Linked DNA regions of Macaca fascicularis. The protein of the gene in region 1 binds, or shares a complex with, the protein of each later gene. Links are inferred from orthologs where the notes say so. Each region holds a gene or a part of one and is shown in the gene's direction. Other genes may lie near its edges.

The links.
Region 2: LAMTOR4 (region 1) and LAMTOR3 share a complex: the UniProt entries of both Homo sapiens proteins name them as parts of the ragulator complex. The link is inferred for Macaca fascicularis from reciprocal best matches to the Homo sapiens genes LAMTOR4 and LAMTOR3.

Annotation. Positions count from the first base shown.
Region 1 is NC_088377.1:48,815,730-48,820,009, forward strand, and holds the start of LAMTOR4 (ragulator complex protein LAMTOR4), read left to right. Parts: upstream 1-1,312; 5' UTR 1,313-1,386; coding exon 1,387-1,389; intron 1,390-1,909; coding exon 1,910-1,990; intron 1,991-4,280. UniProt on the Homo sapiens protein: As part of the Ragulator complex it is involved in amino acid sensing and activation of mTORC1, a signaling complex promoting cell growth in response to growth factors, energy levels, and amino acids.
Region 2 is NC_088379.1:105,526,548-105,530,363, reverse strand, and holds part of LAMTOR3 (ragulator complex protein LAMTOR3), read left to right. Parts: intron 1-1,102; coding exon 1,103-1,161; intron 1,162-2,772; coding exon 2,773-2,906; intron 2,907-3,816. UniProt on the Homo sapiens protein: As part of the Ragulator complex it is involved in amino acid sensing and activation of mTORC1, a signaling complex promoting cell growth in response to growth factors, energy levels, and amino acids.

The DNA of each region.
Region 1 (4,280 bases):
ACTATATTCAGATTTTTTTGGTTTGTTTTTGAGACAATCTTGCTCTTTTACCCAGTCTGGAGTGCAGTAGCATGATCATGGCTCACTGCAGCTTCAAACTCCTGGGCTCAAGCAATTCTCCCACCTCAGCCTCCCCGGTAGCTGGGACTACATGTGCGGTATCATGCCTGGTTAATTTTTAAATTTTTAGAGATGGGGTCTTGCTATGTTGCCCAGGCTTCTAGAATCACTCTTCATATTACTCACTAACACTGCCTCCACCACATTAATACGGCAACAGGTCTAGAAATTATTTAAAACAAAAATTTCCAATGTTTACATTGTGTGATGTATGTATGTATGTATGTATGTATGTGTGTGTGTGTGTATCATTCCAAGGTACTGTTTCTAATTTTTTCCTGCAGAGAATATTCAGTATTGTATCTGCATTGGCTAGCTGGTGATTCTATTCACCATCACATTGTCCCAGACTGAATCTGAAGACAAAAAACCACTTTGGGAACAAAATCTTTTTTTTTTTTTTTTTTTTTTTTTTTGAGATGTAGTCTCGCTGTCTCCCAGGCTGGAGTGCAGTGGCGTCATCTCGACTCACTGCAAGCTCCACCTCCCAGGTTCGCGCCATTCTCCTGCCTCAGCCTCCCGAATAGCTGGAACTACAGGCGCCCGCCACCACGCCTAGCTAATTTTTTGTATTTTTTAGTAGGGACAGGGTTTCACTGTGTTAGCCAGGATGGTTTCCATCTTCTGACCTCGTGATCCGCCCGCCTCGGCCTCCCAAAGTTCTGGGATTACAGTTGTGAGCCACCGCGCCCGGCCAAGGGAACAAATTCTTGTCTTCAACAAAGAGCGGTCTTGAGTAGGCATAAAAGTAGCATTTGAAGGTTGGGCGCCCAGCCTTGAATAGCTTTTTACATGCATTGCACGTTATTTCCTTTTATTATCACGTTTTTTGGGTCCAGTCTTAAACCTGGGAAGGCATTCGTTTGGGAGGTCACACTGGCGGGCATCCTGGTTCAGGCGGAACCCAGACTCTAGAAAGCGCGCGCGGAGCCACACGGTCAACCCTGTCCCACTCCTGGCCCTCCCACACCGTCCCCTCCGCGGAAGCACTCCCGCCTCCTCTCGCTCAGGCACTGACTGAGAGGCGGAGAGATGGGTGTTAAAGAGGGGATATCACCAATCAACGTGCGCCTCCGGGAAGGAGCGCTTCGCACTGGCTGGTTGGGTCTGACGACGTGGCCACGATCCAATCCTCATGCTAGAGGCGCGGCTAAAGGGTAGGGAAGCAAGCAGAAGGAGGAGCGCGCCGGGTGCGAGCACGTGACCGGGGCCTGAAGCCGGAAGCTACCTATCTGGTAGGGAGCTCCACCAGCACCGAAGACTGCGATGGTGAGTGAGGACGCATGCGCGGGAGGACCCGCCGGGGGTTCCGCGTCTCTGCTCCCCAATCTGTGTGGTTTCCCCCTCGTGGGTCTGCGCTCCACCCTCACCTCCTATCCGCTCGGGGAGGAAGACGGGATGGAGATGGGAGGGATGGCGACGGGAATGCTGGGGAGGGGTCTGTGGGAGGGTGTTCTGGGGCTGCGGGTAGTCTGCAGGTCAGGGGCGGGGAGGTGGAGAGAGGGTCTGGGGGCAGGGGCCAGTGGGGCAGCGAAGTCCCCTCGGAGTAGCATAGGTGGAGCGTGGAAGGCCAGGGGAGCCCGGGGGCCGAGAGTGGGGGCAGATGGAGGCTCGGGAAGATCAGTATTGAGGACCATGTAGGGGGAAGGGAGCCGGGAAAGGACCTGGCTGGGGAATGAGAAAACCTGGGGCCATCGCCAATCAAGAGACTTGGGTTTGTAGGTGAAGGGTATCAGGGGCCATCCATCCCTCTAGCATGCTTCTCACTACTTGCATCTTTACCCACTAGACTTCTGCACTGACCCAGGGGCTGGAGCGAATCCCAGACCAGCTCGGCTACCTGGTACTGAGTGAAGGTGCAGTGCTGGCGGTGCGTTCTGGAAAAGGGAGGGGGTCCCTTAGTGCACACAGCCCGGTAACCCCTTCTAATATTGGCCCTTCTTTTCTCGACTTTTACCTGGTTTGCGGTCTGGCATCTATTAGGTTGGTACAAAAGTATTTGCAGTTTTTGCAATTACTTTCAGTAATCAGTCTGTGGAATCTTAGTCTCCTAACGGTTGCGGTTTATTTATTTATTTATTTATTTACACTTTTTGAAACTGAGTTTCATTCTTGTTGCCCAAGCTGGAGTGCAGTGGTGCGATCTCCGCTCACTGCAACCTCCGCCTCCGGGGTTCAAGCGATTGTCCTGCCTCAGCCTCCAGAGTAGCTGGGATTACAGGCATGTGCCACCACGCTCGGCTAATTTTTTGTATTTTTAGTAGAAACGGGGTTTCACCGTGTTAGCCAGGCTGGTCTCAAACTCCTGACCTCAGGTGATCCACCTGCCTCAGCCTCCCAAAGTGCTGGGATTACAGGCGTGAGCCAACATCCCTGGCCTTTATTTGATATTTCTTAAAGAGTCATTTGTATTTTGTTCCATAGTACTGTATAGTGTTAGGTCTCTAGATGTTTTTGATTTAGCTAGAGACAAAGCTTAAGGTTAAGTGTTGAAAACAATACAGGTGGTAAAAGACTATTGAAGGAATCCAGGATATTAAAAATTCAACATGTTATGACAAGGTAACTAACTTCCCTGGAGGTAGGAATTCAGCCCAGCTTAAAGGAGAGTATTTACAGTGGGGAGGTGGACATATTTGCAGGTGTGTGGCACTGACCTTTCTAAACTGATGGTAAGTCTGTGCTGAAAAGATTTGGGAAGATTTGAGGGAAGAGGAAGATATGGTCAGGGAGGATCTGATTGTGAAGGATCTTCAAGGCCAGGTTAACACACTTGAACTTATTCTTCTTGGAGGTAATACAGCTTGAAAGGTTTTTTAAACAGAAACAAGACCCAGTGAGGTGGTTGAGCAATATTGTTGTTAGTGATGTGAAGATGGGCAGAAGGAGGCATCATTAAGAGATTAGACTGGGCCAGGCATAGGTGGCTCAGGTCTTTAGTAATCCCAGCATTTTGGGAGGCCAAGGCGAGTGGATCACGAGGTCAGGAGAGCTAGACCATCCTGGCCAACACGGTGAAACCCTGTCTCTGTTAAAAATACAAAAACAAAATTGGCCAGGCGTGGTGGTGGGCGCCAGCTACTCGGGAGGCTGAGGCGGGAGAATGGCGTGAACCAGAAAGGCGGAGGTTGCAGTTAGCCAAGATTGCACCACTGCACTCCAGCCTGGGTGACAGAGCAAGACTCCGTCTCAAAAAAAAAAAAAAAAAAAAAGAGATGAGACTGGGCAAGTGGCAGTAAGAAGGAGCAAGGAGAGAAGAGTTTTGTTTTTGTTTTTGTTGTTTTTTGAGACAGAGTCTCGCTCTGTGGCCCAGGCTGGAGTGCAGTGGCATGATCTCAGCTCAGGGCAACCTCCGCCTCCCAGGTTCAAGCGATTCTCCCGCCTAAGCCTCCTGAGTAGCTAGGATTACAGGCGTATGCCACCACACCCGGCTAATTTTTGTATTTTTAGTAGAGATGGGGTTTTGCCATGTTGGCCAGGCTGGTCTCGAACTCCTGACCTTGTGATCTGCCCACCTCAGCCTCCCAAAGTGCTGGGATTACAGGCATGAGCCACCGCGCCCGGCCCTTTTTTTTTTTTTTTTTTTAGGACAGAGTCTTGCTGTCACTCAGGCTGAAGTGCAGTAGTGTGATCACATCTCATTGCAGTCTTGAACTCCTGGGCCCAAGCGATCCTCCCACCTCAGCATCCCAAGTAACTAGAACTATAGGCAAGCACCACCACGCCCAGCCATTAAAAAAAAAAAAATTTATAGGGACAGGGGTCTTGCTATGTTGCCCAGGTTGGTCTCGAAGTCCTGGCCTCCATCAGTCCTCCTGCCTTGGCCTCCCAAAGTGCTGGGATTATAGGTATGAGCTACTGTGCTTGGCTGGGAGAAGATATTTTAAAGGAGGAATCAGTATATCTTGCTAATGACTAGAAATAGGTAATAAAAGAAATACTTCTCTAGCTAGAACTCTAAAGCCTGGAAGAGTGATGATGCCTTAAGAAACATGTTCCTTAAGGCCGCGCGCGGTGGCTCAAGCCTGTAATCCCAGCACTTTGGGAGGCCGAGACGGGCGGATCACGAAGTCAGGGGATCGAGACCATCCTGGCTAACCCGGTGAAACCCCGTCTCTACTAAAAATACAAAAAACTAGCCGGGCGAGGTGGTGGGCGCC
Region 2 (3,816 bases), on another chromosome or scaffold:
TAATCAGTGGCAGAGCCTGGACTGGAACCCAGGTCTTTCTAACTTTAGAGCTATAGCTTGACCATTCTGCTTACTACTTCTGTAAGCATGGCTGAAAGCATTGCTGCATGGCCTTCATTCGTTTTGCCCTGTTTCTTCAGCCAGGAACAGTCTTTCCACGTCTTTTCACTTAATACCATAACATCTCAGCTGAGATATTACTGCCTCAGAAAGCCTTCCCTGGTCCACTCTCTGTCTGCATCAACCTCCTGTTTTCTAGGTTCTCATATCACTATGAACTTTTTTTTTTTTTTTTTTTTTTTGAGACAGAGTCTTGCTTTGTTGCCCAGGCTGGAGTGCAGTGGCACGATCTCAGCTCACTGCAAGCTCCGCCTCCCGGGTTCATGCCATTCTCCTGCCTCAGCCTCCTGAGTAGCTGGGACTACAGGTGCCCACCACCACGCCCGGCTAATTTTTTTTTTTTTTTTGTATTTTCAGTAGATGAGGTTTCACCGTGTTAGCCAGGATGGTCTCGATCTCCTGACCTCGTGATCTGCCCGCCTCAGCCTCCCAAAGTGTTGGGATTACAGGCGTGAGCCACCATGCCTGGCCCCTATGAACTTTTTAACAATACTTGCCCCCAATTTTAGTTTTACGTTTGTTCTTGTGAGATTATTGATAACACACTCACTTTTTAGATCGGAAGCCACGTGAAGGCAATGATTGTGCTTATTTCTGTTTTTCATAGTATCAAAGTATTAAGTGCCACAAACACCGGCCATTTAATATTTGCATGAATGAAAAAAGAAGAAGGCTCTTTTTTGTCACTGCAGCCATTGCTGATAATCTTTCATGCTTTTGTAAACCATGGACTGATCATTCATTAGCAGTTTTAATGGAGAGTTAGCTTTGTCTTAGATTCTTATTAATAAACCGCATGAATTTATAAATATTATAAACATTTCTATAATAGACATTGATTCCATTTCTGGGAGAATTTTGGGGTCCTGTGGTTTTTCAGAAAATACATGAGAATTATTATGTCTTTGAGGTGTATAGTTTGAGAAAATGAAATATTTTATATTTTAACTTTTTTTATATTTTAACTATTTTCTTTTTCTAGTGTTGAAGGGCTCCATGCCATTGTTGTATCAGATAGAGATGGAGTACCTGTTATTAAAGGTAAAAGTGAACATTTAAATGCAAATATCTTCTTTGCTTTTGACTAAAAATGCGTGTAATTTACATCTGAGTAGTACAGCAGGCAAACATCTAAAATTCATTTTAGTAAATTTTAGGAGATGGTGGTCTTAGTATTGGCGGAAGTGTTTGCTTTTGTATGCTGAAGGTTGAATTTGAATCTACAGTGTATTATATATCAGGTGTATCATGTTAACATCTAGAGTTTAAGCATGGATTTATCACAGACCCATTTCCCGTTGAAGACATTTACAGTGCAATGTAAACCATTAGTAAATCTAAGTGATGAGAGTGAGCATGTAGGCAGCTAGATAAACACACAGACACCCCTACATTACACACACACACACACACACACACACACTTTATCAAATTGCTAGTTGTTTTAGGATAATACCCATGTATTTGAATCATAAGTAAACATGATGTCACAGAGAGTCAGTATGGATTCAGACAATTTTTTACTATTTTTATTTTATGGTATTATGAGCATGGATGTTCCTAGTTTTTTTGGGACACTGTAATGGCTTTATCAAACATTAAAGATTGGATAATGTTCTGTATATTTCGTGTACAATTTTCCACCTGGAGTTGTCATATATGTCAGATAATTTTAGACTTTAGAAATGAACGGAGGTTTAGAAGTCAAGTGATTTAGTTCTTTCATTTTATAAGTGAAGGTAATAAAGTGCAAAGACACTTGGACTTCATTAGCAGTTTCAGTGGAGAGTTAGCTGTGTCTTAGATTCTTATTAATAAACTGCATGAATTTGTAAAGATTATAAACATTTCTATAATAGACATTGATTCCATTTCTGGGAGAATTTTGACAAACACATTATAAGAACATGGAATATCAACAAAGGAGGTCCTGTGGTTTATAATCTTCAAACATTGCAGTCCAAAGTCGGGCGTGAGTCAGTAACAGAACCCATCATCTCCTGATGTGTGGTCCAGTGTGCTTTCTAACTCACTATAAAATGGTCGTTGAATGGTTGTGGACAGATTACTTGCTTTCTCTTAATTCTGTAATGAGGGATTTGAACAAAATAATCTCAGATTTTCCAGTTCTAATGTTCTTCATGAGGATATCTGTGTTAAAGCCTTGAGCCCTGCACTCATTAATACAACAAACTCCATGCAGACCTTTTAATGAGTGAGAGAAACACGAAACAGGTAACTAGCTGCAGATTGCTAATATCTATGAGAGATATTCCTTGCTGTGGGTTTTATAAGAGCAGAAGTTTTGTAACTTTTTTCATTAGTTTATTCTAACCTAGTCCTCAGATAACCAGTTAAATGTGCTTGATTAATCTATGTTTTAAGTTAGATATCAAGAAAAGGTAAACATTTAATTTTCTTTTTAAAATTTAAAAAAATTGTGAGAGTCAGCATTTCTTCTATTGTGATCAGTGAACTTTTGACTGAGCAATTTTTCCTGATTAGTGATGAGACCCCATTAGTGATATGATTTTCAATATTGTGAAACATAACCTTTGTGCTCAGTTTTAAACAGAGGTTTATGAAAAAGGGCTGTAAATCTCTCTATCATATCCTCTGCATAATTTTTATTTAAATCACTTATTTTTCTAGTGGCCAATGACAATGCTCCGGAGCATGCTTTGCGACCTGGTTTCTTATCCACTTTTGCCCTGGCAACAGACCAAGGGAGCAAACTTGGACTTTCAAAAAATAAAAGTATCATCTGTTACTATAACACCTACCAGGTAAGTTCATAATTATCAAATGATTTGCTGATTTCAGTTGTCATTTTTGTACCTTTTATATATAAAATAGTTTGTGTTATAGTTCTCAATTTCAGTTTTGAAGGGGATGAAATTGTAAAATTTTAGCCTTCAAATTGGTTGTGTTAAACGGTAGTAATTTTCTTCACATTTTATACCAGGAAATAATTACGATGGAAAAGTAATTAAGTGACTTAATAAAGTACATGTTATCCTAAAAAGTGTACGTCAGGTCACTGTTATCTCCAGTAGATGGTGCCCTTAGCTAAACAACTGTGATTTCTCAGATGACACACTTTTTTTGTTGTAGTAACAGATAAAAAAAACTTTCCTTGAAAGTTTATTAAATTTGCTCTTGCTACTAATTCCTTCATTTTTTGGAAACATATATATGTAATAAATGAGGTTATTATTTGTGGGAAAGAAGTTAGTTTTTACATGTCTCTTGATCTCAAGCTATATTTTCTTAAGACTGAATTAATTCCTTGTGCTTTAGAGCTATGTTTCCTAATCAATTGATGTTAAGTTACTCTTTTTTTTTTTTTTTTTCTTCCGAGACAGAGTCTGCCTGTGTCGCCCCATGCTGGAGTGCAGTGACATGATCTCATCTCACTGCAACTTCCGCCTCTCAGGTTCAAGAGATTCTCAAGCCTCAGCCTCCCAAGTAGCTGGGATTATAGGCATGTGCTACCAGGCCTGGCCAATTTTTGTATTTTTAGTAGAGATGGGCTATCACCATGTTGGCCAGGCTGGTCTTGAACTCCTGGCCTCAAGTGATCCCATCCACTTCAGCCTCCCAAAGTGCTAGGATTACAGACGTGAGCCACCATGCCAGGCCCATCTTTTATTTTAAAAGTTACATATTTTAATGTGTATTAGGTAAAACATAACC